3 linked regions of the Canis lupus familiaris genome follow. Each later gene encodes a partner of the first gene's protein in a complex. Links are inferred from orthologs where the notes say so. Each region holds a gene or a part of one and is shown in the gene's direction. Other genes may lie near its edges. The genes, in order: DHX9, HNRNPU and IGF2BP1.

Region 1 (6,401 bases):
TGTGAAGTTCAGGAACAAGCAAAACTATCATCATAAAAGTCAGAATGGTAGTTTCCTCTGAGACAGGACACAAGATAACCTAGTGGATGATAGGAATGGCTGATATCTGGATTTGGGTGGTAGTTCTATTGGTGTACGTACACACAGGCTAAAAAACAAAAACATGAGGGGCTGTACATTCAAGGGTTGTTCATCTTTACATATGTAAATACTCCAGTTAAAAGAAAGGGACCACAATTAACTGAATTAATTATGTATGAAAATTTGGGGTGAATTCTTTTAGTATAGTCTGTGTATAACTAAAAGCATGGTGACCTGCCAAAACAGTTCACTTCCCTTGAGGGAGTTCAGGAAAGACTTATGCTTGTGACCCACAGTCAAGGGAACCACAGAACTTTCTTATAGGGGATTCACGAAAAATGGATCAGAAGGAATGAAATAAAATGCAAAAACTGTGGCCATCGGCTCTGCTTCCAAGGGAGGAATTTGGATCATATGAAGAAATAACAGCCATTTATTTCCCCACCATCCTCTCCTCCCAAATATCCAGTTATCTGTGTTGCAGACGTTTCCTACTAAGAGCTTAGGTGTTTACCGTAAAGAGTTGCCTTGACCGGTGGTAGAGTTTCCCTTGGAAATGTCTTGTTCTTCAACTGATAATCTTTGGAACTGCCCAGCTGGGAAGATCATGGTGCTCAAGGTACTTTGAGAACACAGACATTGTTCTGTTTCAAACTTTATTCAGCCCTAACTGACTTGACTTGTTACCTCTTTTCCTCCTTACAGGGGAATATAAGAGCCTGCAGTTCTCTTCTCCTGATCCTCACATGGTTATCTTCTTGTCTGCTTTTCAGATGTTGGCTTAAATATTAACTTTTCAGAGATGATATTTTTAACCATCCAGTTTAAAATAGCCACCCAGGCAAATTCTATCTCAGCATTAACATTACATTTAATTCTCTGCATAGCAACTTATTTCCAGTGAATATTTTATTTGCATTCTTTTTTATTGTCTGCTCAAATGCAAGCTTTCATTGAATCTGTGGCTTTATGTCTTCATTGGTTTTAGGTAATACTTCTTCAAATACTGCTTTTTCTCCATTCCATCTCTCCTCCATTATTGAAACTTTAATTAGATGTATACTATATCTTTTCACCATGTTCCATTCATCTTTTAGGTTCTTTCGTGTATTTATCATTTGCTTTTCTCTGCAAGGTCCAACTGGATATTTTCTACTGATCTATTTATTTACCATTAACCAATCCTTTTTCCTGCTATATACAATCTATTAACCCATTAATTAAGTCCGGAATTTTGGTGATTCCATTTTCACTTTTAAAATTTCTATTTGAGGGGATCCCTGGGTGGCGCAGAGGTTTGGCGCCTGCCTTTGTCCCAGAGCGCGATCCTGGAGACCCGGGATTGAGTCCCACGTCGGGCTCCCGGTGCATGGAGCCTGCTTCTCCCTCTGCCTGTGTCTCTGCCTCTCTCTCTGTGTCTCTCATGAATAAATAAATAAAATCTTTAAAAAAAATAAAATAAAATTTCTATTTGATACTTCATATTTATTCCAGTGTTTTCATCTATTCTCTTGAACATACTAATTGTAATTTTTATAAAGTCTCTGATAATTTCAATATCTGAATCATTTATGATCATAGTTCTATTTTTTCCTCTTGATTTTCAGTCATTTGTTTTGTCTCCTGGCTTGCCTGGGGACTTTTTTTTTTATTGAATTTGGGCGATTCTATAAAAAAATTATAGAAATTATAGGTCATTCTGTCTTCCTCTTCTGGCAGAAAGAGAAAGCTAGAGCACTTTGGTCCAACGAGGAAGTGAGATGATTCAAGGCTGGTTTTCATTCACCTGAGTTTGTCCTTGCTTTTAGAATGTACCCCTGCAGGAGGTATCAGATGAAAGTCTGGGCTCTGTGCCTTGGTGAACTCCAGGTTTTGTCTCTCCAGTACCATGAGGCTCCTGAATGCTCTACCTAGCTTTTAGCCTAGGCAGCTTAGGAATCAGCAAATGCATCAAAGTGAAAAGTGACACAAAAGCTCCGATGTGAAAAAAAAATTTTTTTAAAAAGCTCTCATGTTTCCCTTTCCCCAGGATATTAGCTGCCTTGCCTCTAATGCTTCAAATAGCTGTCTTGTTTTGACTTTTTTTTTTTTTTTTTTTGCTTCAGATTTTGGAGTTGCTTTTGGCAAGAGAATTGGTTTGCTAAAAGCTACTCTATCATACACAGAAGTCATCTCCAAATGCAAGCTCTGTGAGAAAAGGATCTCACATCTGTCTTATTTATGGCTATTTCCTAGTACCAATAGTGCCTAGTACCAAAACAAAACAAAACACCCTTCAATAAACATTGATGTTAATTAATGTAAGAACTAAGCCCTATATCTGTCCTTGACATCTATATCATTTACAGCCCTCCGTATCTATCCAAGGGAGTCTAGGGTAGGTAGCACAGCACGGGAAGAATGGGGTCTGGATCTCCTTGGCAACCGGACGCCACGCGCGGGCACGGTAGCCGCGGCCCCGCCCCTCCCCCCCGGGGCGCCCGCGGCCCCGAGCTCGCTCCCTGCGCATGCGTACGCGCGCTGGCCCCGCCCCCCTGGCGCAGCCGTCGGAGCCATTTTCTCCGCCGCCTCCGCGCAAGCTGCGGTGCGTTAAGCGGGCGTCTCTGAGGGAGGCCGCGGCCACGGAGGGTTCTGAGAGGGCTGCGTTCTCGGACACCGGAAGGCGGACGCCGGTAGGGTAGAGACGTCTTTGCCACCCGTTGTGGGGCGCGGGGCCCCGCGCTCCTGCAGCCGGGCTTTGTTGCGAAGCGCGGGCGGCGGTGGCGGGTGGGGGAAGGGGCGAGGCGCCCGCTGGGTTCCCGGATTACGGGCTGCATGCGGCTCGCCGCGCCTCCCCCCGCCTCCCCCCGCCTCCCCCCGCCTCCCCCCGCCTCCCCCTGCCTCCGCTGCCCGGGCCCGTGCGGCGGACCCGTTACCCCCGCCCCCCCACACACCCTCGTCCGCGGCCCCGAGCCCCACGTTCTCCCGCGGCCTGCACGCCGTGCTTGCTCTTGGCGGGATCGCGGGGCTGGCGAGGCCGCCGTGACGCCGCACACGCCCGAGGCCCTTCATCCATTCATTTCGGCCACAAAGACCGGGCGCTGTCCTGCGGGTGCGGTGGCGGGGCGGTGAGCACGTGGGGGCGCAGTCCCTCCCTCTTCCGCGGGGAGGTTTCGGCGGTGGGAGGAGGCTCCGGCAACACCAGCGTCTGCAGGCTGCGGTCAGAAGCTTGAGAAAATGGAAGGTCGTCGAGGGAGAAGGCTGGTTTCACCCGGGCGGCCGGGGGGAGAGCGGACTTCCCGAGCGGATGAGGTCGAGGATGCGTCAGCTCCGAGATGCGGGATCAGTTAGCGCTTGAGAGCGGGAGTTGGGGAAGAAACGGCGAGGAGGCCCTGTTACCTAGAGCGTATTTTGAAGGGTGAAGAGAATGGATTTCAGGACGGTCAGCGTGAAAAACGGCGATTTAGATACCTAGATCCAGGGCGTGATTGCAGGAGGCCGGGGGGTGCGGCAGTGGTGGCAGCGGACGGACGGACGGACGGACGGACGGACAGACGCGCAGGGGGTGCAAAGCTGGTTTTGGAGGCGGAATGGCGTGTAGGTCAGGAGCCCGCCTGCCGGGCCTGGAAGTCTGGCTCCTCCCAGCTGAGAGAGCTCTTGTCTTCTCTGGGGCGAAGGATTTGGGGATTTTTGTGGGGTTTTTTTGTTTTGTTTTGTTTTTGTCTCAGTTTATTAAACGGGGAGAATAAGTATTCTCATCTGCATAATTATTGTAAGGGTTTAGGAAAAGTCGTTTACGTGTAGATGATCCCCTAAGGCTTTACTGACTGGTGTGCAAACGGAGAGTCCTCCAAGGGATGGCTGTGGAGGGCATTATTAAGGGAGCGTAGGACTCCCAGCTTGTGACGGGGGTAACTTGGCGGTGCCATTTCAGGAGGTGGAAACACTTGGACTGCGGGGAGGAAGGGTCAGGTGTGGAAAGGAAACGTCTGTTTTTACTGAGATGTCAGGTTAGCGTTTGCACATGAGCGCCGTAGTTGGATGATACTTGATTTTGGAGCTTTGAAAAGACTATTTCAATATATGTTTGGGCACGATCAGCATATAGTTGATAATTGAGTATAGTGGCGTTCGTTGAGACTGCCTAAGGAAGGAATTTGATAGTGTAGTCTTTCATATTTCATGGTACTCCTTCACCCTGAGGTTCTTGTTTTTTGGTTTTGTTTTGTTTTTTGTTTGTTTGTTTGTTTTAGTTGATTATTCAGGGGTGGAATTTACAGATGGACATCGGGAGCTTTCCACCGCTTTTCGGTCAATAGGATTTACCCAGGTTAACCTGTGGCTACAGAATAACCTTATACTAGGGTCCAGTTTCATGACGTTAGATTTAGGTGCTAACAAAATGCACTGAACAGAAGAAGTAATAGGGTTTCTTCTCACACACAAACTATTTTTTTTTTTTTGCATATCTTTTCCAGATTAAGTTTGGTCTTAGATATCTTGCCTTTTTTTTTAATACTTATTATTTATTTTGAGAGAGAGCACGCACGCACATATGTGCAATGAGGAGCAGAGGGAGGGGGAAAGAGAATCTCCAGCAGACTCCTTGTTGAGCTCAGAGCCCACCCAGGGCTCTATCCCAAGACCCTGATTGTGGCCCTAGCCGAAATCAAGAGTCAGAGGCTTAATTGAGCCACCCAGGCATCCTTCATATATCTTGCTTTTGATTTAGATTCAGATTTTTTTTTTAAAGATTTTATTTATTTATTCATGAGAGACACAGAGAGAGAGAGAGAGAGAGGCACAGACACGGGAAGAGGGAGAAGCAGGCTCCAAGCAGGGAACCCGACGTAGGACTCGATCCGCAGGACTCAATCCGGGGACTCCATGATCATGGCCTGGGCCAAACGCAGGTGCTCAACTGCTGAGCCACCCAGGCATCCCTAGATTCAGATTTTAGACTCATAGGCTCCATATCATTTGGTGTATTTATAAACTAGTTTAGAGGGAGAGTGCCAACAAGTATGGTATGGTGCATATCAAGAAAACTTAGTATCCTCAAATTATAATGAATAAAAAGGCCTAAAGGAGAGATTGGGTGCTTAACAGATTAGTATTTTTATTATTTTTTAAGATTTTATTTATTTATTCATAGAGACACAGAGAGAGAGAGAGACAGAGACACAGGCAGAGGGAGAAGCTGGCACCATACAGAGAGCCTGACGTGGGACTGGATCCAGGGTCTCCAGGATCATGCCCTGGGCTGCAGGCGGCGCTAAACTGCTGCGCCACCGGGGCTGCCCCAGATTAGTGTTTTTAGTCTAAGTACTGAATACTTGGTGTATTTGGACTTAGTAGTGTGATACATAACCTACAACTTTGAGGACAGTCTGCTAGGAGACACCTCAGAATGAGAATAAACACTCTGATTTACACACAACATGATAGATGACCGTTTCTTAATCTTGTAGTTTTAATTTATGCCTCCACAGTGGGTGATTTGGAAGTTAAACTTTCTATTGCCTTGTTTCTTCCTTTGTATAGAGGTGATAATAGTATAGTATTTACCATATAATTATCTCCCATTGTTTGAGGGTTAAATGAGTTAAAACACATAAGGTGCCTATTGTAAAAAGGAGGACATTACCTAAAATTTTTTTTAAAGATTCATTCGAGAGAGCACATGCCCATGCACGAGTGGGGGAGGGGCAGAGAGCATCCTCAAGTCGACTCTGTCCATTGCCCAAACAGAGCCTGATGCAGAGCCCAGCCCCAGGACCCTGAGATCATGACCCCAGCTGAAATCCAGAATCACCTGCTCATCTGACTGAGCTATCCAGAGACCTCATAAAATGTTTTTAAGGAAAGGTCAAGGGTACTTGGGTGGTGAAATAGAGACCTTTTACAGGTTCCGTGCTGGCTTGGAACCTGCTTAAAATTATCTCTCTTCCTCTCTCAGAATAAAAAGGGCGATTTAGAATCACTTGTAGTCACTCAAAGGTAACCATTTTGAAGGACATTTCTTTTTCGGTCTTGATTTATGCATATATCCTTTTATATAGTGCAAATTGTGTAGTTTTATATCCTGTCTTTCATATAACATGTTGTAGGCTTTCCAACTATGTCATTAAAATTTTGTCATAGGCAATTTTAATAGCCTGGTAGAATATCCTGTGTTTAATCTAGATTTTCAGTTAACCAGAGATACTGGTCCTTTGCAGTGTTTGCTGTTATAAATAATGTGATGTAACTTTTGTTTTCTTAGGTCTGAAGAAGACACTTGAATCATGGGTGATGTTAAAAATTTTCTGTATGCCTGGTGTGGCAAAAGGAAGATGACC
Region 2 (5,671 bases), about 20 Mb from region 1:
CTTGCAGAAAAGAACGGGGGAGTTAGGAGTATTTGCGTTCCCCAAACAGGAGGGGGGATTTTTTTTTCTTTTTCCCCGGTTGCGTCGCGGCTTGGCCCCTTATGTTAGGGGTGTTGTGTGTTATAGGAGACGGCAAAACAGAGCAGAAGGGCGGAGATAAAAAGAGAGGGGTGAAAAGACCTCGAGAAGATCATGGCCGTGGATATTTTGAGTACATTGAAGAGAACAAGTATAGCAGGTAGAGGATGCCGATCTAGTTTTACCCGTCCCCGTTCTTTCTGGGGTAGGAAAAGCTGAATCAGGAGACAATTCTGTCTTTCAGAGCCAAATCTCCTCAGCCACCTGTTGAAGAAGAAGATGAGCACTTCGATGACACAGTGGTTTGTCTTGATACTTGTAAGTGAAGCTGTTTCTTCCCTTTTCTCCCCCGGTTACTAAATGTGGCGATTTTGGTGCCAAAATGTTAGAGAACTTAAACGCAGTGTGCTGAATTTAAATGCAGAATACTTAGCGTAAACCGTTTACCTTTTTTAAAGGAGGGAGACGAAAGGTTTTATTCAGATTCTGGTAGCTAAATGTCTAATACAGCATCAATTGTGTCGTATTGATAATTTTATAGGCTCCAGCAATTTGGTGTTATTTTTTATATGATTAGAAAGTTCTCATTTATAGGAATGTAAAATTAATGGCAATTTTTGGTTTAGTTAGCTAATGGAAACTTGTAAGACAACCTGTAACTTGTCCTTTTAGGCTCCTACGATAAAGTAATTTAATTTTTTTGGTAGCATTTTATTAAGTGAGCTATTTGGGCTAGTTAAATACGTATTAATGATTTTTTCCCATTAGCACACAAGTATATTCCCTATTCTAAAAGATTGTAATATTACTTTTTCAATAACTGCTCTTTTGTTCTCAATTCCAGTTCAGTAGCTGCTGCTTTAACATAAGTTGATTTCTTCCAAAGACCTGGGGCAGCAGCAGTGGGCTATCACTGGGCTACTAGCTTTCTTCAGCAGCGAATGGTATCAATGGCAGCGCTGTAAATACTGCTACTTTACCCAGTTGGGTTGCAATTGAGTATGAGGAAGTATTGCAAACCTCTAAATGGGCCTTGGCTGTCAGATATGTAATTTTGCATAAAAATACTTTGTTCAGTATTTGATCAGAATGCACAGCTCTTTCACTTTGATAAATAGAGCTTAGAAATAATGGCTTGCTAAGTAGGTGGTCAGGTGTGAACCTGCCCCATAGATCTAGGGAGTTAAAGTTTAGATTTCCGTGTTTTCCAATACAAATTATTTTTAGCAAGATTTGTGAGAATGTAAATGTTAACTCTTGAGTTCGTATTAAATACCCTTAACAGGTAGTTGAGCTAAGGGAATCTTTTAAAAGAAAAGAAAACTGCACGTGGAAAAATCTTTGATGTGAGAGTTTTATTTTAAATAGTTCCATTGCTTTTAAATATGACTAAGTTGGAATTGGCAAGATAGTGAAGCAGTGCTTCCAGAAGTGACGCTACCGCCCAAGTAGATGGGGTTTTAGCTGATTACCTAGGAACATCAACTTAATTTGTTGCTATCTATATTGGGTTCAAACACAGTTGGTCGAATTGAAAATTCTGTCAGTATTCTTGAGAGCTAAGCTCATTTAAGGAGAATCCCAAGCTGTAGATCTAATTTCCTGTCATCAATAAAAGCATAAGAAAACGGGTTTTTAACTTGTGATGCAAACTCCAAGAAGGTGCATGCTAATGAGCCACTGACCCAAAGATAGCTAGGTTAAGGACCTTTCTTTGGGATTTGGGTAATCCTCGAAGGGATAATCCTCCGTTGTTATTGACTGACCCTCTGGCCTGGGGAAAAGGGAGCTAAAATGCTGTAATATTAACAGTGTCCGACAAGCAGGTTTGCATTTGGCTAGGTTGAGGCTGCCTTCTTCACAGTGTGAGAACTTAGGGTCTAGAGCCCCTGGTGTTTTAAAATCACAAAGCACAGGATCAACAAACAGCTCACACTCCTGTATTTAAAGTGTGTGGTCATGGCCTCCCTTCAGTTTTATTGTGGCACTGGTAAATTCTACCTGGTTCTGGCATGCTTCACTTTGATTTCCTGCTATCCTCTACTGCTTGCCTCTAAATCAAGGTAAAGAGCAGAGCAGGTATGTATCCCATGTCACATTGTCTTGATTATTTTATATACTTAGAATACACGTTAAATTTGGTGTTTTGGTTTTGTAGGCAGTTTACACTTTAGTTCATAATTTGGTGAGAGTGACTTGGTGGGTGTGGGGCCTAAAGTGAAGATCAGCAGCATGATCTGTAGAAGCAGTGTGTCCCAATGCAGCTTTAGGAAATATGCAAGAATATAATAACCAGGTTTTGTTGATGTAGCAGATATATTTGCATTGGATGTCAAAAGAAATAATATGGTATTTGATATAATTACAGATAATTGTGATCTACATTTTAAAATATCAAGAGACCGCCTCAGTGCTTCTTCCCTCACTATGGAGAGTTTTGCTTTTCTTTGGGCTGGAGGAAGGGCATCTTATGGTGTGTCAAAAGGCAAAGTCTGTTTTGAGATGAAGGTAAAAGCAGTTTTTTTTTAAGAACCTCTGAGTTACCATTTGCCTGACACTTCATAGTGTCATTGGAACTTTTTATCTTTGAAGTTTCTGTGGATTGAAAGAGACTTGGAAAAACCTTTCTTTTATGACAGTTAACTATATCTGTTACATTAGTAATTTCTATTGTAGGGTCAGCCTGTCTTTATTTAGGTTACTCTTATCAAGCACTTGAAAAGCCCATGAAGGGTTTAAAAATAATTTGATTTAAGCTTTGGGTTTCGTTCCATAGCAAAACAGGTTGAATGTATACTTTAATTGGTTTTTGAGTCAAGAATCTGTAATCTTTGAACTTTAACAGTTCTTTTAAATGTGAGTCGATCAAGGACTTGAATGTTTTCGGCTCAAGTTCCAAGCTCTTCTGTCAATTTTTAAAGTTCTTGTAAATGTAGGGGAGAGATGGTGAGGTAGAATGGGTCTCTTCCTGTTAGTAGAGAAGAATTAGCCCACAGCCCAGATGAAGTAAACAAGGGGTCAGGGGTTTATCTTCTTTGTAATCATTTATGATTTGATTTTTCAGGTTACAGAGAAGATCCCAGTAAGGCATTTATATACAAAAGATATTGACATACATGAAGTTCGGATTGGCTGGTCACTAACCACAAGTGGAATGTTGCTTGGTAAAGTTTCCATTTGAGTAGTATGTGCTCATGTGTGTTTAGGGTCTGATTTCAGTAGTTAGACTAGGAGGCTTTCTAAACCTGCCTGTTTTTAATCCGTTTTGTTATTTTAGTTGTGAATGATAACTAGCATGTATCAACTGACTTGAGGGTTTTTTTTTCTCTCCCCTTTTTGGTTACTTATTTTATGACCAGTGGTTAAAAGCCACTATCCCATGATGTGCAATTTTTAAGATAGTTATATAACCCACCTAGCTCTCAATTTTCTACATCTAGGTAAAGTGTAAGTGGAAGAATGTTAGGTTATGTACTCCTTTCTCTTGATTGTATCTTGAATATTAAAATATGTGGGTCATTGGACTGTTTTGAACAATCGATTTCATGAAAGTTAAATTTATTTTCTTAGGTGAAGAAGAATTTTCTTATGGGTATTCTCTTAAAGGAATAAAAACATGCAATTGTGAGACTGAAGATTATGGAGAGAAATTTGATGAAAATGATGTGATTACATGTTTTGCTGTAAGTCATAAGTCACCCAAATTTCTATTTTAAAAGTGAGCATTATTAATTAGAATTTTTTTTAAGTTATATCCTCTGCCTTCAATACTAACCTGTTCCCCCTGAAAACTACTTAACATGAAGTTGGCCTGAAAATCTAGTCTGTTTATGAAGGCAGCATTGTTTCTGCTTCTAGATACAAATGTTTTAGTCTTCATAAGTGTTACAAAGCTCCTAACATTTAACTTATAAATACATTTTTTATTGGATGAGCTTCATTCCTTTCAATTTTGAGTTTTGTTTTTTTTTTTTTTAAGGAAGTTTAAAGGAGGCAGATTAAAACTTAATTTTTTTCCTACTTAACAGAACTTTGAAAGTGATGAAGTAGAACTCTCCTATGCAAAGAATGGACAGGATCTTGGTGTTGCCTTCAAAATCAGTAAGGAAATTCTTGCTGGAAGGCCACTCTTCCCGCATGTTCTCTGCCACAACTGTGCAGTTGAATTTAATTTTGGTCAGAAGGAAAAGCCATATTTTCCAATACCGGAAGATTATACTTTTATCCAGAATGTCCCCTTAGAGGATCGAGTTAGAGGACCAAAGGGGCCTGAAGAGAAGAAAGATTGTGAGGTAAGTAAAATGTTTTTTCCTTAAGCATTTGAAGAATACTTTTGTTTGGCAAAAATTACACTTGGAAGTTCTGGATGATTAATCTGTTTGATTCTGCCATGATTGTTACAGCCAGTGATTTTTCTCTTAGTAGCTGTGTTCTTTATATAGTATTGAGTTTCTAAAACTTCCCTTTGCTTTTAGGGCAATGAAAATCTAAACCGGGCTCTTTTGCTTTAAAAAAAAAAAACACGTAGGGAATTCTTAGATGGCTCTGGTGATAAGTGAAATACTGTTTTTTCTTACTCTAGGTGGTTATGATGATTGGCTTGCCTGGAGCTGGGAAAACCACCTGGGTTACTAAACATGCAGCAGAAAATCCTGGTAAATACAACATTCTTGGAACAAACACCATAATGGATAAGATGATGGTAAGTAAAGTATGTATTTATTGTGTGTTCTCAGCACTTTGAAAAGACCAGAAGATACTCCAACTTTTTTGCCTGTTGCCTTTATGCATTTTGTGTTTCTGTTTTAGAGTTTGGCCAAGTTATCTTGGTTAAAGTAGGAGGATGTAAGGTAAACTGCATGTATGTGTAAGGTGAAGTGCCTTCCACTGGCTAGGCTTTATTTTTTTCTGTAAAATTTTTTGAACTACTAAGCAATTAGTAGCTAAGAAAGAACTGAATAGCAGAGGATTTTGTGACATGGTTAAGTGATTCATCATAATGATGAGGAAAGGGACTATTTAAATTTGAAAATGTCTGATTTCTGCATAGATCTAAGCTGATACTAAAAAAGCCTAAGTTTCATCCACAAGTTCAAAGGAACTTTTTTAACTTTTAAAACAGGTGGCGGGGTTTAAGAAGCAGATGGCTGATACTGGAAAATTGAACACACTGTTGCAGAGAGCTCCCCAGTGTCTTGGGAAGTTTATTGAGATTGCTGCCCGCAAGAAACGAAATTTCATTCTGGATCAGGTAAACTGTATCTTTGAGGTTGGAAAAAAAGAATGGATTGTGGGGTTTCATGTGGAGCTAATATTTGGGTTATCAAACTTTGTTTTCAAGACAAATGTGTCTGCTGCTGCCCAGAGGAGAAAAATGTGCCTGTTTGCAGGCTTCCAACGAAAAGCTGTTGTAGTTTGCCCGAAAGATGAAGACTACAAGCAAAGAACGCAGAAGAAGGCAGAAGTAGAGGGCAAAGACCTACCAGAACACGCGGTCCTCAAAATGAAAGGCATGAAATTTAGTTTTGTTACTGTGTTAAATCTTTTTTGTGTCCATGAACTACTGTCGGTTCAGATTATCTTCAATGGAAAT
Region 3 (6,384 bases), on another chromosome or scaffold:
TTAACTCCCGACTTTTTGAACGGTATAAAAATCGTCTGGCAGAGGAGCGGTGCGCCCAAGTCGGGAGTCAGCTCCCTGACTCTGCAAACAAAAAAATAATAACAAGGAAAAAAAATCCAAGGCATTCATATCAGTGCAGCCAACACGTGTTGCGGAGTCGGCCCGGGCCGCAGGCGACTGAGACAATGGGGTCGGGGACGGGGAAAGGGAGAGTGACCCCCTTCCTCACCTGCCCTCGCAGCACGCGTGCCCCCGACAGAATTGTTTCTCCCACCCGCACAAGCCAGAGCAAAACCCGAGCTTCCGCCCAGTCCAGGGAGAGTCTGGCATTACTGGGGGTCCACCCCCTCCGCCCCCCGCCCCCGGGCAGGGGAGCTCCGGGGTCCCCGGGCCGCGCTCCCCGCCACCCCCCGCCCCCCGGCGCCGGCCCAGCCCCCTCCACTGGAAACTCGTTGCCCTCGCCCGCCACTCGGCCCGGGATCCTGGTTGCGCGTGGACCGCGCGTCCCGCTCTCCGCCGCCTCTCCCGGACTCCGAAACGCGCGGCGGACGGCCCCCTCCCCCACCGCCGAGACGGGGTGCGCCCGCCCACGTGTCGCCCCTTGCCCAGTCGGGTCCGTCCCTCGGGCTCCCGGGGCCGGAGGATCCGGAGCGAGTTGGTCAAAGGCGAGGAAAGGGACCAGGGCGGATCCGCTTCCCCCTCCCCGGGAACGGGCGGGGGAGGGGCCGCCGCCCCCTCCCCGAAGCTCCCGCCCCTCGCTTCCCCGAGCGCCGAGCGGAAATTACCCCCTCCCCCCGCGGGTCTGACCTGGGGACGTGGGCGGGGCCTCGGCGCTCGGCCCCCCGCCCCCGGCCCCTCTCCCGCCTTCCCGCCCGGATCCGAACGCTGCGCCCCAAACAAAGTTCCGAGCCCCGAACCCGGCGCCGCGAGAGCCGCGGTCGCCGGGCTGGGTGGGGCGGGCGGGAGGGGACTCCACCTGTCTGCCCCCGCGCCCGGGAGGGAGACGGGGAGCGTTCGGATCTCCGCCCGGTCACTCCCTCCCGGAGACGTCCCCTCTGCGGTCCGCTCGGGTCTGCTCCCGCTACCACTCCTCCTCCTCCCCTTCACCCCTCCCTCTCTCCTGGGGTCAGCTTGGGCCGGAGCCGCGCGTCCCCCCAGGACCCCGGGACGGTGTCGTTGGGCAGCCGAGCCCCGGGGGCGAGCCACCCTTCCTTCTCCCGTGGGAACCCCGAAACGCGGTTTCCTGCGGAGCCCTGCTTCCCGGCCGCGGTCCCCCGTGTTCCCAGCTTCCCGGTCCCGCGCTCGCAGGGTCCTTCGGTGCCGGATTCCCGGAGGCAGGGGAGTCTCCCGGGGCCGGGGCGGGCGAGGCCGAGACCCCTCACTAAAAAATCTAGGGGAAGAGCGCCTTTCTTTAAAAATCACCGGCTTGCGCGACCCCCGCCTGGAGACCCCAGAGTCCTCGGCTTCTCTTTGTCTATCTCGGCCGTTCCCCGCCTGTCAGTCGCTAGCAGTTAACCGGGGTAGGGTGGGGAAACTCTCGCCCCCCACCCCCGCCCCGACCCCCACACGAATAAAAAATAACCGCACATTTCACCCATAAAGAGGTGGGAGATTCTGGGCCCGACCGCCCTCCCCCAGCCGGGCCCGGGGTAGGGGGATGGGTGGGGGCGGGGCGCCTCCCTAGGGGCCAGATTCTTGCCAAGGGGGAGGGGGCAATTAGAGCTTCGGGAACGCAGCCCCCACCGCCCAGTTCCCCGCCCGGGGTGGGGGGGGGTTGAGTGCCCCCTCCCTTCCCACCCGGGGCTGGAGATCGGTGGGCTGGGCCCGGCCGGAGGGCCGGTGGGCCCAGAGGCGTCGGGGGTCTTCCCGAGCCGGGTGGGTGGGGGCTTTCACCACGTGGCTTCGCCCTTTTTTTTTTTTTTTTTTCCGCTCCATTTTTTTTCAAGTCGATTTTATTTAGAGGCGGCGCCAGGGCGGCCGCGGAGAAACGTGACACACCAGCCCGCTCGGAGGGGTTTCGGACAGAAGGGAAGGAGCAGCGCCGCGTCGTCCGCCTCCCAGCGCGCCGCGGGCACTTCTCCCGGGCCTCCCCGAACTCTCCCGCGACCTCTGCGCGCCCTCAGGCCGCCCTCCGCGCCGCGGGCTCCGGACAACTTCAGGGGTGGGGTGCAAAGAAAGTTTGCGGCTGCCGCCGCCGGCCTCCCGCCTCTCGGCCTAGGAGGCTCGCCGCCCGCGCCCGCGCCCGCCCGCTCGGCCTTGCCAAGGGACCGCGTCCCGCCCCGACACCGCCACCATGAACAAGCTGTACATCGGCAACCTCAACGAGAGCGTGACCCCCGCGGACTTGGAGAAAGTGTTTGCGGAGCACAAGATCTCCTACAGCGGCCAGTTCTTGGTCAAATCGGGCTATGCCTTCGTGGACTGCCCCGACGAGCACTGGGCAATGAAGGCCATCGAAACTTTCTCCGGTAAGAGCGCGCCCACCTCCCCGCAGAAGCCAGCACGACGCCCCCGGCCCTCCCCGGCTCCCTGCCCGCCAACTCCTCTCTGTCCCCGGCCTGCGCCGCTTGGCCTCGCCATCGACCCTCCGCCCGCCTCTTTCGACGCCCCCTGCGTCCCCCCGCGCCCCCCGCGCGGAAATAGCCCGGACCCCCTCACCCTTTCCTCCCAGCCCGAGCGGAGGCCGGAGGCTTTCGGAAGGCCGCCCCTGCCCCCCACCGACGGGGCGGGGGCCCCACTGGCGGTGTGTCTGTGGGGGTTCCCACTCGGGCGGCCCCCGTCTGGGGCGTTATTCCCCTGCACCCCCGTGTACCCGAGGCCGGACCCCCGCCCCCGCCCCCCACGCGAACACCACCCCCCACCCACCCCCACCCACCCCCAGCTCCCTCTCCTCGGCCCTAGGCCTTTCCGGGCGGGGAAGAGGTCCCCGCGCCGTCCCCGAGCTCCCCGGTTCCCAGTGGGACGGCAGCCTTCGGGCGGGACCGGAGAGGAAGGGGGGTCCCGCCTCCCGCCCTGGGCCTGGGCTTGAGCCATTTTGATTTGAAAGTGGGGCGTGAGCGGGGTGGCGCGGCGGCGGCGGCGGCGGGTCGCCATGCTGCTTCCCGAGACGCCCAGGCTGGGCCGAGAGGCGCGCGCCGCGGCCGCCGGGGACCCTCCCCGCGGGGCCCCGCTCCGCTCCCCCAGGGCCTCGGCCCGCCACCGGCCCCGACAGGTGAGCGCCTCGCCGCCCGGAGCCCTTCTCTGCGGCCGCACGGGGAACTAAAGTTTCGTGCTGCACCCCTCCCCCGCAACGCACTTTGGGAGCACCGAGGAGCCCTTTCTCTCCCCGGCCCCTGCTCCCCACCTCCGGGGGCCGAGAGGCAGCCCGCCCCCACCCACGCCCCGGCCGCCCCCCGCCTCCCAGATCGGGCGCCCGCAGCCATCCACGACCCAAGTGACCTCGGCGAGAGAACAGAACAAAACGAAAATTAACAAAACACAATAACGAATTTATAGATTTCCACCATTCCCAGCGCGACCGTTTCGCGTCCGGCCACGGAACCCACTGCCTGGATTCCTAGGCAGATCTCTGATCACAGTAACTCCTGAATTACCCTCTTTATCCTTTTCCCACCCCACACCCCTGTTCAAGATCTTATATTGTCTTTTTTTTTTTTTTTTTAATCTTTAGGGAAAGTCGAATTGCAAGGGAAACGCCTAGAGATTGAACACTCGGTCCCCAAAAAACAAAGGTAGGAAAGGGCTCTTCGACGAAGAAGGGAGGCAACCTGGGGGCGCTTAGAGGTTGTGTTAAGGGGTCCATAGTGTCTCCAGTGGAAGAAACCCATTACTGGCCTTCCCACCCCCAACTCCGGATGTTGGGGGCAGGGAGGGAAGATTGGCTAAGATCTTGTAATGGGTGGTTTACAGCTTGTAAAAAATAAGCTGGGGTTGGGGTGGGCTGAGAGATGGTATTTGGAGAAGTAAAAGGCAAAAAAAATCAATAGAAAAACCTTGTGGAGTTTGTTCAAGGTGTGTGGGGCCATTTTTGTGGGAAGCTAAAAATCTTTGAAGAGTTGCAACTCGACATTTCTGCAACTTCTAGCAGGCCTCCTTTTTTTTTTCCCCAACCCGTCCTTTAGCATAATTCTTAAGTGGATGGGGGTGGGGGGATCCCTTTGACTTCCTAGGAGAAGTAAAATGAATTCCTGCCCCCAAAAGAATTCCCTTATGCTTGTGTTATATGTGTATTTCTGCAACAGGCAAGGGCATTTTTTTTTCCAGACCCCTAGCCCTAGCCCTTCACATCACACGCCCTCCCCTCCCAACTGGATTTTGCAAAGAATATGCTTTGGCTGTGCGATCCTTTCCGAGCCCCCCTACCCCCACTCCTTCAGTCCATTGTTATAAGGGGACCATCTGGGGTGAGAGCTTTGTGTTCAGGCTGTGAGCTGGGGCTCTTTGGAGGGTCTAGAACTCCCTGGATGAATTGTGAGAGAGGGAGATTGAGTGAGACAGAGTGAGTGTGTGTATGTGTGTCCCAATACCTTCCTACTCATTTAAGCAAAGTGGGGTATCTCTATCATGGTATCCCTAAATCTGGTTCATGGTGGCTTTCAGATCTTTCATTGAACTCTGGCTGGGAAGTATAGGGGCAGAGTTTCTGCTTTCTCAAATCTGACTTTAAACATGTTGACAGTGAAGAGTTTTCCCTCCTGTTGCTGCTCCCAGGAAATCTTTGATCCTCCGGTTCTCTCCCCCATCCCCTCCCTAGGTGTGTTCTCCCTCTCATTTCAACTAGAAACTTGCTGCATTTAGAATAATCCTGGCTTTTTCTGGGTGGGAAAGTGGAGGTGGGTGGCAGTTTTTTGGGTTTTGTTTGGTTTTTTTTTGAGCCTGTGAAGTTTTAACTGTAAAGTATAAGTGAGATAAAAATCGGTCCAGTAGGTTTAGCTTGAGATATTTTAAGTAACTTGGAACTATTGTATCTATAGATGATCAATATGGCTTGTAACTATGTTTATAGAGCCTGTGATTTAACCTCAAATGCTTCAAATACTCTTATTGGAAAGGCAATTAGAGTTAGTAGTAAAGAGGCAATAAAATCGGAAGGAAGAGAAAAAGTCTTATTTATTATTTTGAAACATTTCCTGGAGATGGGAATGAGAGAAACATACTGACACCAGTGGATTTATTGAGAAAACTGGATATTTGAGCTAAAAGCTCAGCGTTTGAAATATGTTGATGAGAAATGTCCAGAATAACTGGAATTCTGACGTGGGATTTTTTTTTTCCCTTTTGCTCTTCTGGATGGTTTAAATTTTAAAGGGAATGAAGTGAAAGCAAGAGAAATTGCAAAATGTGATGAAATGGGACCCCAAACATTTATATTTTAATTTCCATGGTGCTCTGTATTTATGGATCTTTTCCCCCTAAGCCATCTGCTTGCTTTCAAGCCATTTTTAGGCTCCTTCTTGTTCCCTCCAAAATGCATGACTTAGGGCGCTTTTGAGTTAGGAAGGGGTGGGATTTGTAAGAGTGGGAACAAAATCTTCCTTTCCACATCCATATTAAATTCCATCTTTTGTGTGTTCTCTCTCCTGCCCTGAAATAATTTTTTGAGCACACTGAGTTAGTTGTGTGTGTGTGTGTGTGTGTGTGTTTGTGGGGTGGTTGAGAAGGCACTTCATTTTTCTAGAATGAATCAATTTTTGAAGTTTGAGGATTTTAAAAAAAGTTTGTTTTCATGAAGTCAGTTTGCTCTATCATTTTGTGTTCTTTGAAGGAAGCATTTTGTGGTATGTGTTCTCAGTCTGTCTGAAAACTTTCTTTAGTTGGTCTGTTCCTGGCTTTTTCAATCTCATGGATATATAGACCAGGAACTAGTTAATTAACTATGACTAATATTTTAAGGAACATGAACAACTGTGTATTTTATATATGTGTGTGTGTGTATATATTTATATACACTCTTGTTTTCACTGTTTGAAAAAATAGAAGCAACTTTTGGATACACTCAGTTTCAAATAAGTTAATGACTTTAAACATTTCTAAGAGATTCATAAAAATCTAATAACCTAAGTGTTCCTGTTTTTTGTTTGTTTTTGAGAGGGGAATTAAACAAAAGGTAATAGGCAGTTACCTTAGCATCCTCTGATTTTGAACTATTAATTCATTTTGTTCTAACTTTGTATCTGTTTGATATAGTTTGTACTTTTTAAAGAACCCAAAAGACTGAGCACATGCCTTGAAACTGAGAACATTAATTTGATATTTTAAATGGATGATATAAAATTTCTCCCACCTTCCCAAACTCTCTGAGACAGTGTTGGAATTTTGGCAAACAGTTTTGTCTTTTGGTTGAGAATTTGTATATATTTACTGTCAAATATTAGGACACTGGGA

The links.
Region 2: DHX9 (region 1) and HNRNPU share a complex: the UniProt entries of both Homo sapiens proteins name them as parts of the coding region determinant (CRD)-mediated complex. The link is inferred for Canis lupus familiaris from reciprocal best matches to the Homo sapiens genes DHX9 and HNRNPU.
Region 3: DHX9 (region 1) and IGF2BP1 share a complex: the UniProt entries of both Homo sapiens proteins name them as parts of the coding region determinant (CRD)-mediated complex. The link is inferred for Canis lupus familiaris from reciprocal best matches to the Homo sapiens genes DHX9 and IGF2BP1.

What each region holds. Positions count from the first base shown.
Region 1 is NC_049228.1:16,110,188-16,116,588, forward strand, and holds the start of DHX9 (ATP-dependent RNA helicase A), read left to right. Parts: upstream 1-2,610; 5' UTR 2,611-2,753; intron 2,754-6,325; 5' UTR 6,326-6,347; coding exon 6,348-6,401. UniProt on the Homo sapiens protein: Multifunctional ATP-dependent nucleic acid helicase that unwinds DNA and RNA in a 3' to 5' direction and that plays important roles in many processes, such as DNA replication, transcriptional activation, post-transcriptional RNA regulation, mRNA translation and RNA-mediated gene silencing.
Region 2 is NC_049228.1:35,781,033-35,786,703, reverse strand, and holds part of HNRNPU (heterogeneous nuclear ribonucleoprotein U), read left to right. Parts: intron 1-126; coding exon 127-238; intron 239-322; coding exon 323-396; intron 397-2,446; coding exon 2,447-2,586; intron 2,587-3,142; coding exon 3,143-3,242; intron 3,243-3,648; coding exon 3,649-3,761; intron 3,762-4,106; coding exon 4,107-4,370; intron 4,371-4,660; coding exon 4,661-4,780; intron 4,781-5,200; coding exon 5,201-5,329; intron 5,330-5,419; coding exon 5,420-5,588; intron 5,589-5,671. UniProt on the Homo sapiens protein: DNA- and RNA-binding protein involved in several cellular processes such as nuclear chromatin organization, telomere-length regulation, transcription, mRNA alternative splicing and stability, Xist-mediated transcriptional silencing and mitotic cell progression.
Region 3 is NC_049230.1:25,147,316-25,153,699, forward strand, and holds the start of IGF2BP1 (insulin-like growth factor 2 mRNA-binding protein 1), read left to right. Parts: upstream 1-2,267; 5' UTR 2,268-2,293; coding exon 2,294-2,468; intron 2,469-3,670; coding exon 3,671-3,731; intron 3,732-6,384. UniProt on the Homo sapiens protein: RNA-binding factor that recruits target transcripts to cytoplasmic protein-RNA complexes (mRNPs). This transcript 'caging' into mRNPs allows mRNA transport and transient storage.